Oreochromis niloticus: one gene and its partner. The protein of the gene in region 1 interacts with the protein of each later gene in a pairwise test. Links are inferred from orthologs where the notes say so. Each region holds a gene or a part of one and is shown on either strand. Other genes may lie near its edges. The genes, in order: mtmr9 and nmi.

Evidence for each region.
Region 2: the proteins of mtmr9 (region 1) and nmi interact in binary tests that used the Homo sapiens proteins (3 or more experiments, as listed by UniProt). The two-hybrid records come from large-scale screens. The link is inferred for Oreochromis niloticus from reciprocal best matches to the Homo sapiens genes MTMR9 and NMI.

What each region holds. Positions count from the first base shown.
Region 1 is NC_031980.2:8,513,386-8,525,681, forward strand, and holds the start of mtmr9 (myotubularin-related protein 9), read left to right. Parts: upstream 1-7,447; 5' UTR 7,448-7,586; intron 7,587-7,977; 5' UTR 7,978-7,980; coding exon 7,981-8,162; intron 8,163-9,825; coding exon 9,826-9,934; intron 9,935-10,087; coding exon 10,088-10,213; intron 10,214-10,303; coding exon 10,304-10,477; intron 10,478-11,730; coding exon 11,731-11,948; intron 11,949-12,296. Other genes in the region: xkr6b (XK-related protein 6b), read right to left, coding at 684-1,252. UniProt on the Homo sapiens protein: Acts as an adapter for myotubularin-related phosphatases. Increases lipid phosphatase MTMR6 catalytic activity, specifically towards phosphatidylinositol 3,5-bisphosphate and MTMR6 binding affinity for phosphorylated phosphatidylinositols.
Region 2 is NC_031987.2:33,062,300-33,075,394, reverse strand, and holds the start of nmi (N-myc-interactor), read right to left. Parts: upstream 5,360-13,095; 5' UTR 5,168-5,359; coding exon 5,129-5,167; intron 5,033-5,128; coding exon 4,967-5,032; intron 3,743-4,966; coding exon 3,584-3,742; intron 3,487-3,583; coding exon 3,370-3,486; intron 2,668-3,369; coding exon 2,496-2,667; intron 1,743-2,495; coding exon 1,636-1,742; intron 571-1,635; coding exon 384-570; intron 244-383; coding exon 140-243; intron 1-139. Other genes in the region: ubxn4 (UBX domain-containing protein 4), read left to right, coding at 9,534-9,618, 10,569-10,671, 12,132-12,160. UniProt on the Homo sapiens protein: Acts as a signaling pathway regulator involved in innate immune system response.

The DNA of each region.
Region 1 (12,296 bases):
ACCTTTAAGCATCTTCGTAGTCCCTCCGGCTCATCAATTTGCATGGCCAAAAAAAGCGGATTTTGGGGACCAAAATCTGCCGAGCGTCGCAGAGGAATCGATGACATCATGTCTGTGGGGGGAAGATGTAGTTTTTGCGAGCCGTGAAAACAGATGCTCGTCTGGCCTCTGGTTGGAGTATCTGATGCGGGGAGGGGAAAGCGGGTGAATTGAGGCGACTGTGCACTGTGATGTGAGCGCCACACACACACACACACACACACACACACACACACACAAACGAGCTTTAGGTTACTACCTGCTCCGTCTGAGCAAATAGCTCTCTTCCCTCCCCACAAAAGCGCAATGGCGCACTGTGGTGCACGCACAGCGGTGCGATTTCTGTGCAGATGTGGACACATTTGCGCAACATAAACGCGCGTGGTGTGACTGAATGTCGAAATAAGCTAAAATGTAAATGCATACATGTGAGCCACAAGGAGGCTGAGAGCCGAGCGTAACGGCATCACCGTGGTGCTGATTTTTTTACCCCAGTCATGTACACAAGATCGGGTTATACCAGGTGACAGTCAAGAAGAGGTTAGAAGGCTGGCTGAGTGGATAGAGTGAGAGGAGCTGGAAACACTGCGCTTTGAGGAGCTTAACCGATTCTTTTGAGGCCCAAACTTAAAAGTTTGTCTTACCTCCACACTTGTCCCATCTGAAAGATGTGTATGAGGGTCTGCCAGACCCAGACGGAGAGGCGGCAGCACCTGTCTCTTTGCAAACTGGCTGTAGCTCTGCGACTACTCAGCCCCTCCACGGAGCCCAGTCCTCCCCCCGTGTAATCCTGGACAAACCACCTGAAGCTCAGGATCTGAACCAGAACCGAGGGCACCAACACGAAGAACAGGGTCAGGCCTGACCACAGGAAGTCCTGTTTGTGATAATAGTCGACGGCCAGCCACAAATCGGTCCCCACGTCCCAGAAGAACACCAGCAGTGCCAGGATGATCCACAGGCAGTCCAGCCAGAGGCGTTCCTCCTGCGGTGGTCGCGCTGCATCTCTCCCCTTCCCCTTCCCCTTCCCCCGGAGGTAATGCAGGCAGGCGCTCCGGCAGCCCCAGTAGCACGACGAGGTGTTGCAGCAGTGACAGATGTGGAATGAGCTGCCGTCCCGAGTGTCGTCCTCTCCCGTCCCCACCACCTCGTCCAGATTGTGCAGCTGGGCGAAACCGGTGACGACCCCGCGACCATCGGATTTCGCTGCCATCTTTCCCTCTGATGTTCCCACCTCCTCCGGCTTCCGGGGTTCGTGACGACACTTCCCTGACACCTGTTTTGCACCCCAAATGTTGGAGCCATCTAAAAGCGGGGTGTCAGCGCGTCGCCGTCGCTCGCTCCGTCCCCAGAAAGCGCACCGGTGGCGCAACAGACGCGGCACATTTTCCCCTGCTTTCCCTCCACTGCAGATCTACTCCCACCTGGTAACAACAATCTAATCTGCGAGTTCAAACAATTTAATTGGCAACTCATGCGTCCGACTGCGATCCAACAATTTTTACCTGCGCATTAATCTCATTTCCTGCTGTTCAGTTGTTTCCCATCTCTGCAGCTCGCCTCCAGCTGCAAGCGGAGTGCCATGAGCAGACGGTCCCTCCACTGTCCCACGCCGACGTAATTCACCCCCCCTCTCTCCCCCCCCCCCCCCCCCTCTCTCTCTCTCTCTCTCTCTCACACACACACACACACACACACACACACACACACACACACAGACTCACTGCCAACGTGGTTGCCATCTAGTGTCTCATTTGAAGCCCCAAAATATGTAGGAGTGGGCTGACTGCATAATGTAGATGATGATTTGGTGATGACTTGAGTGTTTGAATCAATCATACTGACACAGTTTGGAGTCACTGTTTGTGGGATGAAAACAGAAGCTCCTCCGTTTACGTAAAACACACACACACACACACACACACACACACACACACACACACACACACACAAAAAACACAAAAAAAAACATATGCTCCCGAAAGTTTACGTGACCTGCTGTGGTTTTCGCCGTGCGTGTGAGCGCATATGAGGTTATTTTCTTATCGCAGTCGTAAATGTTTAGACTATTAATACAAAAAAGAGAGATGGGTAACTTCTATACAAAATATAGGATGGGGTTTGTTTCAGTGGGAATCAGAGGGGTTAAGCGTATACTGAAAAACACCCCCACCCCACCCTCGGGTTACATGTGGGAACAAAGAGCTGGTGAGTCCGCTGCAGGCTCAACAACTCTGATTAGAATGTGCCCACTGAGCTGCCACGCAGGGTCATATCCAATGTGAGATTGATTGGATCATGTCCGCTTCACCCCCGCTGTCTGCTCAGCTCTGCCTGTGCGGACTTGATGGGAGCTGTCTAGTGCTGAATCCTCGACAGCTCTGTCTTTATTCCCGAAGGCCCTAATTGAGAACGCGTCGTCTGAACTAGTTATCTATCTAACAAGGTTACTGTAACTAAACTGAAACTGAAAATTAACGTGAAATATACATTTTAGTTTGTTTGCTAATTTTTTTTTTTTTTTAGGGAAAGAAACTCAAAATGAACTGAAATGATTTTGTGAACAACTGACTAAAATAAACTAAAACTATAAAGAAAACACCCTTAAGTTTACTCCTTGTCAGTCTGGCAAAATGTATTATCCCACCTTGCCTGATGAGGCTTTAGTTTTTACTGAGACTTAGCATTTCTACAAAACTGTGAGTCAACTGCTTTCAAAAAGCTCTGTTTTCTATTGTGCTACATATGCTGATTTTCCTATATCTTGCCTCTGGCATGTTCCTTCATACAATATCAAATAAAAACACTAAAACTAATGAAAAACTAAACTGAAAAGACAAAAAAATGCAAAAAAAAAACCTAACTAAATAAAACTGACTTAAAAACAAACAGTCAAAATGAAATTAAAATGAAAACTAATTGGAGGAAACAAAACTATAACATGTCCGGTAGTCAACTGACAAAAGCATCCCTACAATCTACACTCACTGGCCACTTCATTAGGTACATCCAGTCATCTTCTTATTAATGCAGGCATTGAATCAGCCGATTACATTTCATTTGCATTTAGGGGTCAGGCCTAACTAGTTGATGTTCAAGCTGAGCATCAGAATGTGAAAGAATGGCGGTTTAAGTGATTTTGAACGTGGGATGGTTGTTGGTGCCAGACGAGCTGGTCTGAGTATTTCAGAAACTGATGATCTGCTGGGATTTTCCCACACAACCATCTCTAGGGTTTACAGAGAATGGGCTGAAAAAGAGAAAATATGAAGTGAGCAGCTATTCTCTGGGTGAAAATACTTTGCTGAAGCAGGGGTCAGAGGAGAAGGCCAGACTGCTTCAGCAACAGGCAACAGCAACTCAAATAAGCACTTGTTACAACCAAGGAATTCATAAGAGCATCTCTGAATGCACAGCACATCAAATCTTGAAGCAGCTGGGCTACAGCAGCAGAAGACCACACCAAGTGCCACTACTTCAGTAAGTTCAGGAACCAGAGCTCAATCCAATAGTGCATCTTTGGGATTTACATCATGGATATGCAGCCAACTGCAGCAACTTTGTGATCCTCATGTCGAACAAAATCTCTGAGGAGTGTTTCCAGCACCAGTTATTTGGCTCAGAGTAGCAGGTATAACTTCATTACTACCTCAGGTCTCTAAACAGTGCCTTGTGAGCAGCACTCTGAATGCACACTCAGGTTTAATGGCCTGGGGTAGGCAGTGAAAAAAAGGCCTCAGAGCAATAATAATTAAAAAACAAAATTATACAGCAACAACTGTTTTCTTGTAATAACAATAATTTTACACACAAAAAAGCAAAACACAAACCTACAGTAGTAAGTGTGTGAGACTCAGAGATGAGTTAACTTTAACCCTGTGAGGTCAGTGATGACCCCAAACATGGTCCTAAATCCCAACATTTTGAGAGATAAACAAACAAATACTTATTTGTTAGAAAAAGCAATGTAAATAGCTGTTACGCGCATCAATTCAAATATTTTTATTACTAATTTCCAAGAACATTTTCTTTTAATTGGTGGGAGAACATGTTAAACATACAAAAATCGACACATTCGGATAGCATGGGATCAGATGGACTCAGAGGGCTGAAAGAATACAAGACAGGAACAATAAGGCTTTTTTGAGGAGTAGGTCTGGGGTGATGGTTTTCTAAGGGTGGCATACGCAAAATTATTCAGGCAGTATGTGTGTGATTCCCACCCAAGTACAAGGAATCCGCGAAGCAGTGTGGCTTTACTTCAAATGTAAATGTGGCATCCTGTGAATAATATGTTCAGGTTGAACAAATCAATGATGCACTGTAGGCAAGGCTGTGTTGTGATTTCAGAGGTTAAATCAATACAAGTGGCAATGAGAAGCTAATAACAAGACTGTGGGATTCTCCTCTACTTTGTATGAATACTAGTGATGCTGTAAATAACATCCATCTGGCTTATGTTAAATTTTACCATGGGTCACTTCTACAGATGTGAATAATTATCCCCAAAATATCAATGTATAAATCTAAGAAGGCAGATCATGCTTTGTTTTTGTTTGTGTGTGTCTTCTTATGTATGTAAATTTATATAAACCAGGAATAGAAGACAAAGAATGAGAGAAAAAGAAGTTCTAATCAATTACAAAGAAAAATTACAAAGAAACACTGAGCTCTATCACTATTCATTGAAGGAGCTTAATCAACTCGATCAGAGGCAATAAGCCTACTGATGGAGCACAGAAGTGCAAATCCAGACATTTGTCACAGTGAAAAATCACAACAGATTCTGGTGTTAGACTCCGCACCTACATCAAAGTCATTATCTGCCTTGACAGACAGCTCTGATTCACTGGACATGCCCAAAATAACACCACACAAACAAGAACCATTCAGAACAGAAGGTTAAAGTGAAGGAGTGAATCATGGATGAGATTGTCTTCATCAGAAGATGAATGAAGAGCCTGGGTGAGTAATTGGTGTTGGTGTGGGTACTAATTATCCAGCCCCTAAAATTTGCCAGACGATGTTCCAGCATGTTTGGAACTCTTCAATAAATGTCAAAAAATTGCTCTGTGGGAAGTGTGGGAGTGAGCATTCAGTTCCCTCGCGACAAATTTGGACACTTAACAGATCGCAGTTTGACGTTAACTGGGAGCCTGTGAGAGCACCTTTAATGGGAAATGTGAGTATGTCTTTGGCAATAGTTGCATGCAGTGATTTCCCACGTTCCATGGAGTTACAGTCATTATCCTTCACCCACTTTTATATTTATAACTTATTCTTCTTTTTTGTAGGTTGTGGATCTTTTATAACAGACGCTAAACTAAATCATCTTCACATTTGTCAGAGCATCCTCTTAAATAAAAGATAGAGGTTAGGCTTCTCTGTTGTATTCTGTGAAGTGCATGTTTGCTTTGAAAGTTATTTTTTATCAGTTCATCTCTTGACAGCAAAGCATCTTCTCCCCAGAAGAAGAGCAGTTATTTGGTTTGTAAAGCAACGCTGGGTTTCACATTCAATTTAGCCCTGGTGTCTGTACAGCGCTCCCTATGATGTGGGCTGGGAAGGCCCAGAGCAAACCATCTATTGTGAAGCTTAGACAGGCTGCAAGTGAAGCAAATACCGTGCTGATTTGCAATACATCACAGACACACACACACACCCACACAATGCTCAGAATGTCTAAAACAAAATGGTCCACAGTAGCCTCTGCCAAGCTATCTGCTATTCTTCTTCTCCCTCCAAAAGCGTTCACCTCTTTAGGGAGTCTGCCGTTCAGGCTCCTTGTGTGTTCCTTCATATGCTTTAAGATCTCAGCGGGCAGTTGTCCTCACTATTCAGAGAGCTAAGACAAAAACCTCAGGCAACGTTTCTTCTTTTTTTTCCCCCTGCTGCACGCCCTTTCTTTAGAATAAACCCCCCAGCCGCCTTCAGCTAATGCAGCGCACACATGATCTTTAAAGCCCGAGTCAAAATGTCATTATCTCTAATGAGTATGAGTGTGTGCAGCTTTTTAATCTCCTGATTATTTAATCAGCATCCATAAAGCAGAAAAGTGCAGTTTAGTTTGAGCTCATGCTTAGCCTTGTCAGTAGGTCCCCTCCTCCTCTGTCATTTGTGTTTAAGGGTACTGAAGTCTCCTGTGTCTGTTCTGCCCCTGCCAGCTGCCTACTGGCTCCTCCTTCGTCTACCCCCCCTCCTCCTCCTCTTCTTCCTCCTCCTCCTCAGGCCAGATATGACTTCTCTCTGCTCTCCTTGTTAAACTTTGCTACACCAGCCTGTCAAACTGTACTTGGAACTACACAAAGACCCCACACTAGACTTTTTTTCCTTTGGGGCCTCGAATCATTGGACTTAATATTAACTGTTAAAACTCTGTCTTCAGTTCACTTTAACTCCCATTTTTTCAATTCGAGATGGGACTCTGCAGGTCATTGTTGTCCACTTATTTTTTCTTTTTGTTGTTGTCTAAGTTTTCTTGATACCCTTACATTTTAGTTTACAGCTTGTGCATTTACCTGACTTACTGCAGTCTTACCTTGCATACCTATCTGTGATCAGTGGTATTATCAGGCCTCCACCACCAGGCTGGATCAATAATTTAGTGTAATTCCATTTTTTTTACAGTCTATAGCAACAATTGTCAACAACAGTCACACCAAGTTGCTTTATGTTGTAAGGTAAATACCCTACAATATTAGAAAGAAACTTTAATTACCAGATGAGCTCCTATAAGGAAGCACTTGGGAACTGTGGGAATGACAATCTCTCTGTTAATAGGAAAAAATCTCCAATGGAAACAGACAATTAGAGTTTAATAATTGCCAATTATTAAATTGAGTAGTGGCGTGTAAACCCGCAGGAAGTGACAAGAGGTACGTGATTCAGTGCATCATGGGAAGCTCCCCAGCAGTCTAAGCCTATTACAGTATTACAAAGAGATGGCTCGGGGTCACCTGATCCAGCACTAACTCTAAGTTTTATCGAAAAGGAACGTTTTAAGCTTAATGTTAAATAACATGTCTAAATGTATAACATGACTCACAGCACATCTATCATCATACATTATCTACCCGGTGAAATCAGGGCAAAACTGTTTAGACTTCTGAAAGCCAGAAATCTCTCAAAAGTACTCCAATGTCACCACCTAGTGACCTTTTTTGATATTGGTCGGTAGACCCCAAACACACAGACTAAAATGAAACAGCCTTTCACGGATTTTCAGAAGCCTTGTAGATGAAGCACAGATCTGACGCTGCCTCCAAACCATTAAACTCCAACTCATTCACTGTGTTGCCGTATGGATGTTTAAACATACGTATATCTAATATGTGGACATTATAAGTTCTTCGGCGGCTGTACAGATTTAAAGTATAACGCTAATGTTAAAGAACACAGGAGAGCACAGAGTCACTTCCCGTTTTAGACGAGAATTGCGGAATTTGGGATGCAGAACTGAGCCGAGAAAAGCCGGTTGTTTCCAGTCGGCGTGTTTTTCTTAACGTACCAGTATCGCCCTGCGACCAAATAAAAGAAAACATTGTCAGGTAGTTGTACGATAAATATTTTTAGTGTTGGTAAAAAATGGTCCTTGTTGTTTTTAATATTTATATTATACGTGATGTTTGTGCTTTGGCTTGAATTTTGAAATGTCGGCCGTTTTATATGGTAAATTATCCTCCTTTCTGTCACGATTAGCCTGCTAGCTGACGTTAGCGGTTTAATTTCCGGAATAGAATAACTTTATCAAGATGACCTATTTTTGTAGTACTTTTTCATCTTTACTGTTAACCGACATGGACGCACACGATATATGTCTCATATATGTCGGCAGAGGTTGCGCTGGCCTGTCCTTACAATAATAGTAGCTTGACTTAACCAATAGCGTTGTCTTTATGCTTTAAAATCACCGCGTCTTTTTTCTTTCTGTCTGGTCAGATTATGGAGTTTGCAGAGCTGATAAAGACACCCAGGGTGGACGGGGTTGTCCTACACAGGCCTTTCATGCCTACTGTGGAGGGGACTCTGTGTTTGACTGGTCATCACCTGATTCTCTCCTCCAGACAGGACAACACGGAGGAGCTGTGGCTGCTTCATTCAAACATTGACTCGATAGAGAAGAGGTGACAGCGTTGTGTTGTTGTTTTTCTAAATGACTGTTATGTAATCTCTTTATGAAAATGGTACATCACCTATCTTAAATAGATGCAGGTCAGTAGAGCATGCATTTGGTAAAATCAGTTTGAGTTACGCCTGTTTTTTAGTGCATGCTGCAGATCTGATTATTTATTAATAGTGTCCATATGCTTAACTTGCTTATAGTTAAACTGGTTAGAGAAACTAACATCAACTGGTTAAAGACACGGGGCTTGTAGTGGCAAAGAATTTGTTTTTCTTCACTGCTATTTCTGGTATTTGTACCGTCTTTAAACATTTTAGGTTGGACACACAAGCTTCAGGAGGTTTGCCTAGTACTTAACTGTCAGTTTCTCCTCCAGTATTGGCCGAACCTGCAGATGACCTTAAGGTATGGGTTTTCTAAATGGAAAATAACTTGGAACAGTGGTAAACCTTCCCAAGTGTGCCCAGCCGACCAACACTGACACATCCAGGAGGTCTGAATAGATACCAGATCAACCTTTAAAGAACTGAAGACGTCAGTTAAAGCCAGTGTTCATGATTTAACAATAAGAAAGATGTTGCACAAAAATGGCATCCATGGGAGAGTTCCAAGGTGAAAAATCACTGCTGACCAAAAACAACACAAAGGGCTTGTCTGACATTTGCAAAAGATATCTTGATGATGCCCAAGACTTTTGGAAAAATACTCTGTGGACTAACGAGACAGAAGTTGAACCTTTTGGTATGAAACTAACATGGCATTTTATTTAAAAAAACAAAGTCATACCACCAGTCAAACATGGTGGTATTAGTGTGATGGTCTGAGCTGCATTGCTGCTTCGGAATCTGGGTGGCTTGCTGTATTTAATCAATTCTCCACTACCCAAAAATCCTGAAGGAAAATGTTCAATCATCAGTTCATGCCCTGAAACTCAAGCACACTTTGGTTATGCACCAGGACATTGGTCTGAAACACACAAGTCTACCTCTGAAAGACTCATTGCCAGTTATCACAAACACTTAATTGCAGTTCTTGCTGCCAAGGGTGGCAAAACACAAGTTATTAGGTTTTTTTTAGATGGTTCCAGGTAGGTTTGGATATCTGTTTCCTTTAATAAATGACATCATTTTAAAATGGCATTTTGCATTTACTCAGGTTATCTTTGTCTAATATTAAAATATATTTGATCTGAAACATTAAAGTGTGACAAATATGCATAAAAACAAAACAAAAAACGAAGCAGGCAAATACATTTTCACAGCACTGTATTGTCTCTTTCATTGTAAAGCAAATGACTCATAAATCATCCTGCCTTTCTGACTGAACTTCATGCAGATACCTTCACATTAATCCATTAAGAATGGATTTATGCAGCTCATTGTACTTGGATACTGGCCAATCCACTCTTTCATCTGTAGCTGGGGCATATTGCTGCTTAGAGCTTATGTACTGAGCACTGAGTACTGAGACTGCCTTTAATAACAATCACCGAATCTACAGTCAAACTAACAGTTGTTTCAAAGATTCTTCCAGAAACCCAACATGAGGATAACATGCAAATTACACACAGAAAGCCGAGCTGTAGGGCTCAGAGTAGTTCACTGATACTCTGTGTTTGTTCATGATATTCATCCTCTTTATTGTGCTCACCTTTTAAATTTTAGATTTGTGGGGTCTTTGGGGCACATCACTGTCAAATGCAAAGACTTGAGAATGATTCAGCTTGAAATCACTGGTATGGAGGAGTGTCTCAACATTGCCAGTTCTATCGAGGTAAGAACAAAGGCTCCCCGCCGGAAAGAGAGTGATTATTTTTAGCTACGCTATATTTTTCTCTCAGGCTCTCTTTGTTTTTGTCATGTCAAGTTAAATTCTGCATGTGATTAAAATTGTGAATAACAACTAAATGTTTTCATTCCTCTCAAGGCTCTGTCGACTCTTGATTCAGTCTCCCTGATGTACCCTTTCTTCTACCGGCCTATGTTTGAAGTCATAGAGGATGGATGGAATTCATTTCTTCCCCAGAATGCCTTTAAAGATTTGGAGTCCATGGTACGTTTAGGTCTCTGCTGTGACATTACAGAGTAATTCAATTTGAATCAGGGTTATTGGACCTTTTTTCCCCTCTACATCACTTTGCAGACAGATGAGTGGAGGCTGAGTGAGGTCAACAAAGACTTCAGCTTGTGTCCGTCATACCCCCCACTAGTAGCAGTACCCAAAGATGTTGATGATGAAACGCTGAAGAAAGTAGCTACTTTCCGTCACGGTGGCCGTTTTCCAGTACTTAGCTACTATCACAAGAAGAACGGCATGGTAAGCGCAAGGAAAGATAATTACTCTCTGCCTTTGACCATCTCTTTTGCTTCTCATTGTTTGTGTATTTGAACATTATAGCTAGGGATGGACTGATCCAATATACAGTATCGGTATCGGTCCGATCCTGACCTGAATTACTGGATTGGATATCGAGGAGAAATAAAAAATGTAACCCGATCCATTAAATATTACAAAAGCACCTTACAAAACTTGCAACATGGCTTAACCCAGGTAGTGACCTTAGCACGTCAGAGAAGTATGCGTCACGTGATAGAGCGGCTGTTGCGTGCGAGACCTGTTGGTGGTCTGGAGTTGCTTGTCACTGAAAGCATCTGGAGCCTCGCTACGTGCTGCCAAACCGGTATTTCACCTCTGAGTAAGCTATCCCAGAGAAGTAAAGCAAGTGTGTAAGTTCATCTCTGAATGTTTGTCAAGCATTGTTACGTTAAGCTTAACAACTGATATATGGAGCTCGGACGTCTGTGCGTTGTCATTGCTAAGTCTGACCGTACAATGGATAGACTCAAGTTTTACTTTGGGAAAAAAAAACAACTGTGTTGCAGGTTAAACAGTTCCGTGGTTCCCCCCCAAAAAACTATGAAAACACTTTTTCATACTTGTGTTTTGTATAGAAATTACACAAAATTCAGTCTAAGATTAAATGTGATAGAAACTTCTTACACTGACATCCATCTTGATAAAACATGAGTGTCATGAAGGCATGTTTGCATTTATTTGCACTGCTTTCCACTCTGGATATCTATTTATGTTAAGCTTTAAGTATAAAAGGGTCCATTCTACAACCCATTTATTTTTTAGTTGTTGAATATAAACATTATTTTGTGCTGATATGGCACTTCTTTTTTTCAGAACCAAAGAGTTTTTGAAATCTGTATAAATTGAATTTTAAATTACTTTTTGAATATTACTTTAAATACTTAGATTTACAGTTCTGCTAAAAGCTTAAATAAAAAGATCAGTATTGCTGAACTGCAAAATATTTTGGATGCAGTGTATTTTTTGCAAGTGTAATAGAATAGCTTTAGTGTTTTGTCTTTTTAAATTTGAGTATGACCATATACAAGATATGCAAGATATTAAAAAAACAGTTTTATTGATTATAAAATAGACTATATCGGATTTATATCGGTATCGACAGATATCCAAATTTATGATATCGTATCGGACATAAAAAAGTGGTATCGTGCCATCTCTAATTATAGCGGCTGACAAATCACTTGCACTTTCAGGTGATGATGCGAGCAGGACAGCCACTGACAGGCACCAATGGGCGACGGTGTAAGGAGGACGAGAAGCTGATCAACGCCACTCTGCGGCCAGGAAAGCGTGGTTACATCATTGATACACGCGCTATCAATGTTGCTCAGCAGGCCAAAGCCCGAGGTGGAGGGTTTGAGTTGGAGGCCAACTACCCACAGTGGAGGAGGATCCACAAGGCCATTGAAAGGTGCTTGGACACTTAGATATTAAGAAGACAGTAACACTTTATAATACGACCTGTTTAGAGTCTGCTGCATTGCAATTCCCCTATGAATAAATGGAATTTCAATTTATTATTATTATAATTGCCTATAAATGCTTAAATGTGGGTACGCTAGAATACTGGGGTAACAAGTCACCTTTATACAGGAATCAAAGAAATAATTATACTGTAAGTACATTTAAGTAGTGCCTGAATTCTGGCTGTTTTTGAAGGTATTTGTTTTTTCTTGTAAGCTGATAAGGGACAACAAGCCTTAAGGACATTTGAGTAATAGAACGTCCATCATGCACATCAACATAACAAATATTAAAA
Region 2 (13,095 bases), on another chromosome or scaffold:
GTTAGCATGAATGTTGCCTGTGTCTCTGTGTTAGTCCTGCAACAGACTGGCAGCCTGTCCAGTTAAATGTTGTACAAGTGATAAAATGTGCTTTTAACTAAGTTCACAAAGTGCTTTTAGTCTCAGTGTTGTATCTTACCTGAAATCTGCGCAGCTGGTATTCGTAAATGGGTCCAACCTGCACGTTCACTTCAGCGTCCAGCTCTACATTGTACCTTCCCCTCATGACAAGCCTCTCAGCAACTGCACACGAATGCACATACATTTGAGCATTAACATAATTAGCTGGGATAGAACTATTGTAACGGTGCAGAATAACTTAGAACAACTAACTAAGAATAATGAACTGTGTAATGTGGCACAATTATCTTATAGAGTTTTACCTCCAGGTTGGAGGAATGTGACACGCCCTGTCCCGGTGTTCTTGTCATACTCCACTTTCTCCACCTCTCCTCCTCCTCTACTGGGCCTGGAGAAACTAATTTCCAGTCGGTCTTTCATTCTCTCTTCTGGCATCACATCGGGGACGTTGGAAACTTTCAGCTCCTTTCTGGAAACGTCAAGGTGGACCTACATCGGTGTGAACACACACACTGTTTACAGGGTGTTGATCATTACAAAACATCACTCAGTGCAACATGGGAGTCTCCCAGCAGCCTACACCTATTGCATCATAACTAAGGGAGGATTCAGGGTCACCTGGTCCAGCCCTAACTATATGCTTTAGCAAAAAGGAAAGTTTGAAGCCTAATCTTAAAAGTAGAGATAGTGTCTGTCTCACGAATCCAAACTGGAAGCTGAAGGCTCTGCCTCACATCCTACTTTTAAATGTCTTATAAGTACATCAGCAGACTGAGAGCAAAGTGATGTACTTGGGTATATGGTACTATGAGGTCTTTAAGATAAGTTGGGGCCTGATTATTGAAGGGTTTGTGAGGAGAAGGATTTTAAAATTATATATATAAATATAAAAAAATTATAAGTGGAAGAAAGCAGTCCTATATATTTGTTTGCTAACCCCATGCTTTGAGTTTATTATTTTTGTTTTATTCATTATTATATTTACTGTATAGTATGTTCTTTATGTTGTCACAAATTCCAGCTTAATTTTCCATTTTCTGGTTCTTGATATTAGGTTGTAGTTTTAGTTGTTGCTTGTCCCAGGAGGTCATTTTTCCTGCTCTTTGTGTTCTCCAAGTCAAGTTTACATTCCTGTGTTCCTTGTTTAGTTTCTTCCTGTTTTAATTTGTTCATTCTGACCCCGCCGCACACAGAAGGCCATATTTTTCATGGGAATGACTCAGGATGGATCTAGTTCGGTATTGTTAGAAATACTTTTTAACTAAAACCAAAAAACTTTGGCTTTAGTTAAGAAGTATTTTTAGGAAAGTATTCTCTTTGTGTCATCACAGCAATAAGTAATCCTGGAGCTGTGTACTGTCTCACTCCTACTCTGTGGACAGATTTTAATGACCTGGCAGTGTTACAACTGTGGAAACTATAGAGAGGAAACTAGAGATGCAGTCAACAGAAAAAATAAGGCTCTGGTTTCTTTTTCCTTTTAGTTGTGACCCATAAGGCTTCATTTACTAACTGAAGCATAAAAAAACCTGATGACACTGTCGAAGCATCTACCTCGAACTTCACAGCAGGATCCATGGTGATTCTTCTCGGCTTCACGTCCAAACTGCTGTTCTCACAGGACACAGAGCACTTGGCAATTTTCAGGATCTGACGAGCCACTGCAGACCAAGAATGAGGCACGTTGTACAAAGCGCTTCATAATAACCAGTTCATTTACCGTTCAGTATAACTGAAGACTGTTGTAATTTTATTTTAGAAAGTATCACCACCTGTACCACTAACAAGTGAAACTGCAGGTAGGCGTGACCTACAATAGCAGCAGTATTGGAAGTGGTTCAAACATGCACAAGGACAAAAATCTGAAAGGGAAATCACCCAAGTTTAAATCAAGTATTTGATTTTGTTATAGCTGGTGTTGCAGAGATTTCTGATCTGATGCTGATATGATGCATGTTAAACTAAAAAGATGAACATTCATGTGGCAGGTGCAGCTTCAGATACAGTCCCAATCAAAAGTTAAAGACCACTTGAAAAATGGCATAAAAATCATATTTTGCTTGGTTGGATCTTAACAAGGTTCCAAGTTTCAAGAAATGGGAGACAAAACATTTTCTTGAGCAGTTTACTGAAAACAACGCTTAAACTGAAACAGCTGATCCAAAGTTTACAACCACGTCTGTCTGAAATCATAATTTCATATTTATTATCTGAAATTGAAATTCTGTTTTTTATTTTAAGCATTTAACTGTCTTGTATGTGTCTTTTTCCAAGTGACAGTGCTAACTGTCGTTGTATAAATATCTTACACAGCAAAGCATGGAAAACCATGAGGACTCCTTATTTTTAGTTTCATTAACATTAACATAAGTAAGAATGAACCATACAGAGTACTGAAGTCAAATGACGTCTACCTTTCTCCTCCTCAAAGGTGATGAGAGCCTGTCCTCCCTGCAGAAGCACAGCAGCTCTCTGGCTGATGGTAAACACTCCTCTGATTGGCTGACTGTCCTCGTCACCCTCTTCCCTTGGCTCTTTATGCTGAGAAATGAATTTCACCTCTGTGTCTGGGATCTGGGCGTAGATCTGGACAGATGGGACAATACAGAGTTACAGGCCGTTATCTGTTTCAATGTGTATACAGCTGTGGTCAGACGTTTGTGTCCACTGATCAGGAACATGAAAGTCACCGTTTTATTTGGGGCCGTGAACTGCCTTTCACAGGGTGGAATGACTGTAGAGCATAGCTCTTGAAGGAATTTTAAAAAACTGAAATTAAGATGCACAATTTAGAATTGAATCCACACACACTCAAAAGAATATATATGAGCCTGTATGTCTATACAGTATCTCACAAAGGTGAGTACACCCCTCACATTTATGTAAATATTTTGTTATATCTTTTCATGGGACAACATTGAAGATATGACACTTTGATACAATGTAACATAGTCAGTGTACAGCTTGTGTAACAGTGTAAATTTGCTCTCACCTCAAAATAGCTCAATACCCAGATGCAACTTGCTAAAGGACATTTTAATATGTTTGGTGGTGCATGTATATACTGGAGCCTGTAAGTTTACTTTTGACCATGTGTGGAAAATCCCAAAAAAAATTCAAACTTATGCTTCCAGTTTTCATTAAACAGATATTCTGTATAATTATTCCACCCTGGAAAAACAAGCATTCAAAGAAATCATTACCATAATTACCATCACATTAATGCCTGTGATTATTGTATGTAAATGTGAGCAGATGGACAGATCTGAAAGTGTTCCTGGTTTTTACCTTGAATTTCTGCTGTAACTTGCAGGACTCTGTCTTCTTAGCCTCCAGTTCAGCCTGACATCTCTTCAGTTTCCCCAGCAAATCTTGATTGTATCTAGTCAGCTTCTGGATTTCATCCTATGGAAAAGAATAAAATGGAATATTTGGTGAGAGTTTTGTACTCTCAGTTCCTCTGAGTGTAATGTAGATGTTACAGAGAAGACTATAAGTGTACCTGAACTGTTTTCATGCTTTGATTAAATTCATCCTGGGTCTTCTGTTGGTTTTTGACACAAACGTTCATCTCCTGCTGTGCCTCTGACTTGGCATCATCTTCCCCCAGCTTTTCCAGTATCAGCCTGGCTTTCGTATCATCCGCTTTTTCGAATTTAGCCTTTAAGAGATATGGGGGGTGTTCAGAGAGAATACAACTGTGGGCAGTCTACAAAGAGACTACATGCTACTCAAATAAAATTATTCTCTCACTGACAGACATTTAAACATGACCAAATATACTCAAGTCATTCTGAATGATATAATACCACTGCTGATAAGTGAGAAAAGTACAGATTTGGAAGAGAAACAAGGCTTTACTTAGTTTTTATGTCCTTATGAGGGAAAAGTGGAAGAACTGAAGCATTTATAAATAGTTTATGATATAAATTTAAAAGAGAAATCCTAAACAATGCTGTGCACTTGGCTCACTGACGAAACTCAATATTCGTTCTGCGTCCCCCTAGTGTTGTATGCCTGCATTTTAGTTGACATTAACCTTATGTACCTTTATTTATTTTCTATATAAACAGGCTCCTGAGCAATCACTAATCAAGATCTGTACTGATCACGGTAATTGTGCATGTTTCACAGGATAATGGTGCAGCCGTTGACAGACTATGTGCCAGTCTTTCCCCCAAACAAAGGACTAAAACAGTGTTTATTCATTTTTGGTCGAGCTCACTTCACCTGCACCTTGTTTGCTAAAGTGTGAGCCATCAAAAGTTCAAAAGCCGTCAAAATAGTTCTTAGTTGAGCAAATATAGGCCTACACCCTATGGAATGCTGCCTGGGCCCATTCCATCTGACTTTCAGTTGCTGAAGCGAGCTGCTTTACGGTTTCTCCCTGTTTACTGCAAACCTCAGCTGCAAACTGCATGTTCTGTGCAGCCAAATATAAGTAACCATTTAAAGTTTAATCTCAAATGTGTAAATAAAATGTATCCCGTGATGTCTCAATGCTAATAAATTATATCAATGAATATTATGACATTTATTATAATATGGGCATTTAGATAGACTCTTTCAGGCTTTTCAGTCCAGTGCGTTTATTTGTAGAACATACTTAGTTCCGGGCTTGCCTTTACGATGCAGGATTGCATCTCGACTTAAATAAGAGATCTGAGAACTGTAATTACTGTTTAAATCACTCAGATCACTCACAGTACTGAGTAAACAAACCACCTTCTTCTATAAACGGAGAATGAAGACACTTCCGGCTGAGCAGTTGTCGTTTTCCCATAAATGTATTTTGACGATTGGATCGTGAACTTATTTTACTATTGAACTAAAACACTTCACGCCTGAAAATGGAAAATGTAGTTCAGCATTAGTTCCGGCCTACCTTCCATGCCTCCAACTCTCGCTTGGCCTCCTTCAGTTCACCGTCTTTATCCAGGCCTCCTTCCTTCTGCCAAGAAAGAATGGCATCGTTAACAACTGTGGACCACTTGTTTCTTCTTAGACGGACTAAAACAAACAAACAGACGAACACATTATTACTCACCTTATCATTTAGCGAGCGACTACCGAAGACCTCAGCCATGGTCTGAATGACAAAAAAGAAACAGATATGAAAACTTCACTTGGTAGCTACGATCCAAAAATCAGCCAGCTGTGACTGCACTGCCTCTTTTTTGAGTACTTATTATTTTCTGTCGAAGTTAGAAAAGAAACAAAGTGGCCCTGTTGTGCCGGAAACAGCTCCAAATCAAAAGTGAAAGTTACAGCCTGGTGTGACGAGCTTCCCGGTATGGAAGACCAAGTGTGACAAAAGTTCACAGTCAAAGAAATAAATTAATAAAAACATCTCGTGTGTGTGTTGGAAGCTACTGATTCTTTAGATAAAGGAAAAAACACGCAATTTTCTGGCTAAAAATATGCATGAAATTCTTAACCCATTTAATTACAAAAACAAACAAACAAAAATATTTTTAAAACAAAAAACGATTTTACATTTTTTTTGTATGTGTATTTTATTTTAAATAGTACAATATGTTACCAGCACCTAAAAAATCCATAGACGGGGGGAACGTGGAATGAAACACAAGAAGCGAAACATGGGAAGAGAAAAGAGAAACAAGACACAAGGACACACACGCACACATAAACACAAACACACAGGGAGGGACACAGAGGTCAAACACTATGGTGTTATTTTTGTCTCACTATTCTGAGAGCACGTAAAAAAAAAAGTACAAGTGTTGCATTTTGAGGAGAAATTTATTCCTCTCGCTCAGGTTTTGCATTTGCTCTTGCTCAGATCTCTGCGGACCTGCTCTCAATGTGTTGCTCGCGCTTTCAACATCTCTGCCCCTGCACGTTCAACTCTTTCTGTACAGCATTATATTTGTGCCACAAAACCAAAAAATCACAGATTTGGATGCAAAAATTCTGATTGGCTGCTTTAGTTTCTCCATTCAGCTCGCTAGCTACTGTAACCAAACCCAGGCAAATATCCCAGTATGCATTTCGTCCAAAACTCAAACAAGGCATTTGCAGAGGAACGCAGAGCGGCGGAGTTTGAAATATTACTCTTTCTGGATCACAAAATAAACTTTTAAGATATTTTCAGGCTACAAAGCAGGCAATATAAGAATAAGAAACTCAGAACAGACTAAACTTAAGACTACTAATGAACCTAAAACATAAACATAATACAAATTAACACCAAAACACAAGAAACTCAAAATGCTGGGTCAACATGACCCAGAACTCTCAGGTGACTACATAATGAAGAGAAGGCCAAGGGTTTGCAGCACTCAACAAAGCAAAGGGTGGCTACTCTCAGGAATCTCAAATATAAGACATAGTTAGAGTTATTTATCAATTTTTTGATAAATAACAACAAAATTATATTTGTATCACTGGCTGTTATGGGGAGACCCTGGAAACTGTTCAGAGAGTCTTTCCTTTATTCTGCTCGTGCTTCACACGTGTGCTGCTTCTGCAGCTCCGGGCTGCACTTTACAGCACAGTCTCTTCTGGTAAAGCTCACGTCTGCTTCTCCGCTGCCACAAGGGAGGAACAATGTTGAAGTTCTTTTCAGAAGTAATCGATGTTACAGAAGTAACAACAAATAAGAAGACGTCAATAAGCTCATCTATTTCTGCTCAGAGTGGCACAGTCTAAAGAAGTCAGTTTCCTGGATGGTGATGTGTAAGCAGCACATATTGGAAGTTACTGTGAAAGCAATGGAAGGAAAACTGAAAAGGTAGCAAGTCAAATGCAGCAGTTCAGTTCAGCTTTAGTGGTGTCTTTACACACTACAGGTGATTAAGTCATGGTCAAAGTCAAAGACAGCTCAGTTCATTTCATGGAAATCCCAGTATTACTATCATAATCAGTGGAGCTTGCCTCAAAACCCTCATTATAAAGACTGAGTGAAAAGGTTTAGGACAGAGTTTTGGCACTGTGCCCACAACTTTGAGACATCTACACAAAGTGCTGACTACACCCTTTCTCTTATTACACTTATTATTACAGGTTGTGTACCTGCTGCTTTAGGCAGTGCCAGTTTCTCATGAACCAGTTTCATCTGTAAATACTGAGTTAATGTTTTTAATACTACCGCTTGGATTTATTACAGGTGCATGTGTAAAAGAAGCAATACCCCACCTGCTGTGGATTGTGAAGACCAATTTAGACCATTCAATGACTCAAACACTGGAATCAAAAGTGTAATTAAATAAATATTAGATTGACGAATAATCATCTTATTCAACAATTACTGTCATACAGATGAGAGAAAGCAAGAAAAACAGAGACTTGTGGGTGAGCTCCATTAACTCATATCAGCAGAGAGAGAGAGCGGCACTCTGTGCTGTACATTAATTATAATAGCTTAATAAAACTCGCCTCTGCTTTCAAGGACAAAATAAAACAGGAGGAGTCTGTTCTCTGCTTTCAACAGAAAGTGTTATTTGCAGCATTAGTGACTTCATCATCACAATAACCTGTTACTCACATACTGTGTCACCATAAGTAAAATATTTATTCTGTAAAAATAAAATCTAGAAAAAACCCACAGATGACATGACAGATTTTTCTTTTCCCTTTTTTATTCACTTCAAATATCTCATAAACAACAGGAGGCCGCAGGTTCACTATAACCAAAACTTCTGATTCAAACATCACATCAGTGTTACAAGATACAGCAATAGAAATTTAAGGAAAGTTTCTTCATGGTTCAGAGGTTGCACAGCAGAGTTGAAAGATGGTGTGTGAAATGGACTCTTACGATTGGTCAGAATTAGCCAATGAAAATGTGAGAAATGTGAACTTTTTACAAAGAAGGAAAACACATTTCATTTAAATGAATATTTTTTAAATTAATTAAAAATAAAAGCGAATGTTATGCCATCTTCTAACTTTACTTGACAGTGTGTAGAACAAACCTGATAACTCCTAGAAAACTTAAAAATCAACCAAACACATCCAGTCTTTGAGGGCTGTGAGCAAAAACAACACCAGCTGGAAGCCTGTGTGGTTATTACAGTAACCACAGCAGTCTGCTCTCTGTATGTATTACTTTATAAACTGACTTACTGTAAGCAACACAAATGTTAACAGAGAGAGAATTTTGTTGAAGCACACTGTTTATTAGGATCATCACCTGCTGTCTTTAACAGTCTCAGTATTGTTCTTTCTTTGTTTGTGTGGGAGTTTCTCCAAAACATGTGCTCATCGCCATTACTGACAGTCTGGTATTGTAAGTAGTTCTGCTTGGAATTGTGCAGGGCTTGTCTGCATCAGTGTTTCACAGAACAGTATTATCAATATATGGCGATAGTCAAATTGGCCAGCAGATGTCACTGTGGACATGTGTTTCCGACTGTTTCGAAGCCTCGACCGGCTGTAACGCTTCGAACATTACGCTTTGTTTTGTTTTCATTTTTTTTTTTAAAGAACTTTATTGAACAAACAATGAGTATACAACATATAAACAGATGAGGTATACAAGAGAAAAGAACACGAACACACAAAACCAGGGGAAAAAAATAACTATATAAATACACGCAAAAATTCACATATATGAATTGTTTTAAGAGCCTTTTTGTTGGTGGAGTCTGATATTGAGTTTATGTACAATTCTACATCCTTAAGAAAGTGACAGAAATATGGTGTTTTATTATTAAACGTAGATTTATGGATAAAACAATTAGCTAAATGTATTAAGAAATTTATTATATAAAAAACATTTATCATTCTTCTCGGGGAACTTAAAGAAACAGAATAAAACATTTTCCAATCGTAAAGAAAACCCCCTCAAAATATGGACAATAACAAACCAGCTAAATTCCTTCCGGAAGCTCTGTGTAGAAGAACAGTACCAAAAAAGGTGTGTCACAGTTTCTGGATGATCCCCACAGAAAGTGAAATTAGTATTTATGTCTCTTTTAAATACGTTACGTTGTTTCACGAAGCCGTGCTTTGCCCATCACTATGGCAGTTACTTCGGTGGGTGGGCCTGGACCTCCCATAAGCCCGTTTTTTATTAAATAAACACTCTTTGCTACAGTTCATAACCACTCCATTACTCCCCATTATTCTTTAGAATGTAACTGTGTTGATTTGACACATGGATGCAATGAACAAGAGGAGAGGTGATTACAGATTTGCAAAGTTTAGGGTCAGGGAAGAACAGGAGGAGACTCTTTTCGACAATAATTTATTAGCATAAAGTCCGGATAGCAATGATACGATTGTGATTAATTAGTGAAACTGGAGGAGGCAGTAATGCAACACTTGGGGCGCTAAACAGGGGAGAAGAAGAAGAGAAGCTGACGCTGCAGCCAGCTGATATGCGCTGGGAGCGGAAGTAGAAAGTGACAGGCTGACTGGGCTTTAGGTTTGGTTAGCCTAGCTGCTCGTCTGTGTCTCCAAAGCAGAAACACAGAACTCAACTTGCAATGATGTTTTGGTTTCAGGGCTCAATTCCTGATGCCATTAAATCGGCTAAACAACGGAGTTTGGTCTTTGTCGTTGTCATCACAGGTAACAGTTGAAAACATGCGGAAACTCTATAGAGTGCTAGCCAGTTAGCGTTGGAAGCCATTGTAGCCATTAGCTAATTAGCATAGTCAGTGTGTTATGAAAGAAGTCGTCATATGTATTTGATGAATACCCACCGACAGCAAGAATACAGAAGTCTAGTAACGTATCTATGGTGTACAGGGTCTGTCGGCGTAACGTCCTGTGCAACAGCACCTGCTGTCCTCACAGCTGAACCGGGCTGACGTAACGCTAGCGTTAGTTGTTTGCATTCCGCAGGCCAGTCCGAGGATTTCATAAATGAGGGACAGTCCGTCCACCTGCAGAACAGTAGCTGAGTACACTTACTTGGCCAGCCTCAGCGCTACATCACAGTATGACAGGGCGCTGTGGAGCAAAAGGAGCTCCACATAGTCAGCATGGTTCACGATATGCCGCATATATCTCTGTGTTTTGTAATTAATCAGAAAGCGAGATGCAAAAAGAAACATTTATGGAAAGGATTAGGATCGTATGTAAAATAAATAACGAATTATAAAGAACTAGACTCATGGCATGGTCTCCTTTAAATAGCTCTCTACAATAAGTCTCAGCATCACACTGGACCAGATATAGACAGTGTTAGTAGTATACAACAGTGTATGGATTTTGATCTGAACAGATGTTGTTGAGCATGAAGCTGACACAAAGTGACAAACAGCTTCTGTTTTCTGTGGAGTCAAAATCTCTGGTTTTGTGCCTCCAACCTGGCACAGTTGTTTCTGTAATACATCAATGCATCACAGAAACACTGAGAACAGAGGAGAGAAAAGTGGTTCCCAGATTACGCAGAGGGACGTTACTGTAAGAGTTGGAAAAGATGAGATCTGCGCTTCTTTTGCAGTTCCATCAGTGAAGCTGGACCCGTAGTTTTGACCACATGTCTCATCAGTTTCCTGTCACTCTGTCCTTAGGAGAAGATGAACAGTCAGCACAGCTGATGTCCAGCTGGGAGGATGACAGGGTCTCAGAGGCGGCCCAGAAATGTTGCGTGGCCATCAAAGTGGAGGCCAAGAGGTAAAGATGTGTTAGGTAGAGTGATTTTAGTTGAAAGTAAACTGTTAAAGGATGAACCAAGATTTAAAGTTACCTGCATGGAATTAACTGTACATAAAATCAACAATAGATTGAGGTGTACTAGCAAAACCTGCTGTGGCGACTTTAAAATCACATGACATGGTGCTTCATGGATGTTTGTAGATATGATTTGTTACACATCATTTAGTTCCAGCTTCTCCATATTGAATCAGTTGTACAGGTCTGTCTCTTACTATAATGACCATGACGTAAGTCTGTGTGTACCCTGCCTCCTACTCATCGTGTCGGCCATTCGGAATTAAACTTTGCAGAAACATTGTGATACATACAGCGATTATGAATGTTGATTGACGTAGCATGATTTATTGAAATAGAAAAGTTAATGTATTTGGCGATTAGACCCCGTTGATCCATCATAGCAGAACAGAATCCCAGCAGTGATGGGATTTGGGACAGGACCCCCTGGAGTCTAGACTCTGGTGGTGGTGAAGATGAAGACTGAGGCTTGGGTGGAGCTATGGCTGAGGTGGAGATAGGGAGGAGGTTGGTTGCATGGACGAGTCTGTTTAAGCCATGCAAAGCAGAGGCTAATTGGCTCAAAGAAGATGGACAGGATGATTTGACTAGAGTAATGACACAAGTACTGAGCTTGACAGTGTGGGGAAAGTGGAAGAACAGAAAAGCAGGCAGGTGACTGACCTTATTGAAGTTGTGGATAAACTTCATCTTTTTAAAAAGATGTGTTATAAAGTCTTCTGTTACCTGTTCGTAACTTACCAGTCACCAAAAATTGTATGTGCCGTGGAATTTTGTGTGAGTCACCACTAAATGAAGAATGAAGAGTTTGGAAAAGTGTTGATCATTGTGGGTTTTTGACATTCATGTAAAGAGGATCACTTTTCACACCTTTTCCTCCCTGTGTCACCAAGCCTGTACATCCGACTTTTAATGGCTGCTTATTTAATTCAGTTACTTTACTACCTTAATGTATATACTCTAGATGTATATGAGAAGAGCAGCAGTTAGCATTTCCTCCACTATTTTTAAAATGCTATGCCTCTCTTTAGATTTACTTCTGCTTGTATTACCATTAGAGCGAGACAAGTTATCTGTTGTCAACAAAGTTTGTAAAGAATTTGCCAGATTGAATTATCTAACAGTTTATCTGCATACACACAGTTTTTATTTTGACCTTTTTACCCCTCAGCCGTCAAAGGTGATTGGGTTGATTGATTGGGCATCGTCGTTACCTTGCTTTTCTCTTAGAATCAGCTCCCAGGTTTTGCAAACTGCTGCTGCTACTGTAAAGATCAGCCCTAAACCTTCCTCGATCACGCTGTCAGTCTAACAAGCATTTGATGTAATACCTCTAAACAGAGATGTTAATGTGCTTGCAGTTAAACCACAAAATGTTTCAATGATTTCTTCTTTCCCCACAGTGACACGTGTGCACAGTTCTCCCAGATTTGTATCCTTCTGTTGTGCGAGGTTTGAGCTGATGCCGCAGTGCTTACTAAACTTATTACTGACTTGTCTTTGGGAACTGGGTGTCTTGGCGGAGCCTCACAGCTTGAAGGTTCTGACTTCGAATCTGATTTTAGAGCTTTCTGTGAGCACGTTTTGCTTGTGTGGCTTTTCTGCAGGCTGCTGTGGCTTCCCCTCACAGTTCAACAACTGAAGTTCACAGAAGTTTGTTGAATTTATTTTAAAGTTCTCACACTTACGCACAGAGCGCTTTTCTGTTTAATCAGGCCATCTGCTGATATTCCTGTTTATGTTTTTTACCTTAAATTCTGTTTTTGATATGGTTCTTTGTTTGTATTGTGTTGGAATTGTTGTTCAGTGCTTTGTGGTTGTTATTACTGTGAAAAGTGCTATTAAGGTTGGGCGATTGGACGAATATATTATCGACCATCAACGATAGGCTGAGCCTTTCACCGATCGTTTTTACAAGAGTGATTTATTTATTTGCCCATGAGTAAGTTTGCTAATAATGTTGGTTGAGGCTAAGAGACACAAAACAATAATAGCGTTGTTTTAACGGCACACTCCTCCAGCTGCAAGCAAATGCAGTGATTCATTTACTCAAACTCATAACAGAAAGAAACGCAGTAGCCTGTGTTCAGAAAAAACAAAATCATTTTATTTAAATAAAAAAAAAAAACCTACAATGTTGGGGAGGGAAACAAAGAGAAACTGGCTTCTTTTTTTCTACTATAACTGTGTGTATCTGTCTCACACACTCGACCAAACAGCAAAAACAAAATTAAACAAAAAGTAAGTTTAAAAATCAAAATGTCTCTTCCAGTGAACATTAAAAACAAGTCTCTAATGTAAAGTTAAGTCTTTTGTGCAATTTGGCCCAAATAACTAAATAAATAAATAAATGAATAATCCAAAAAG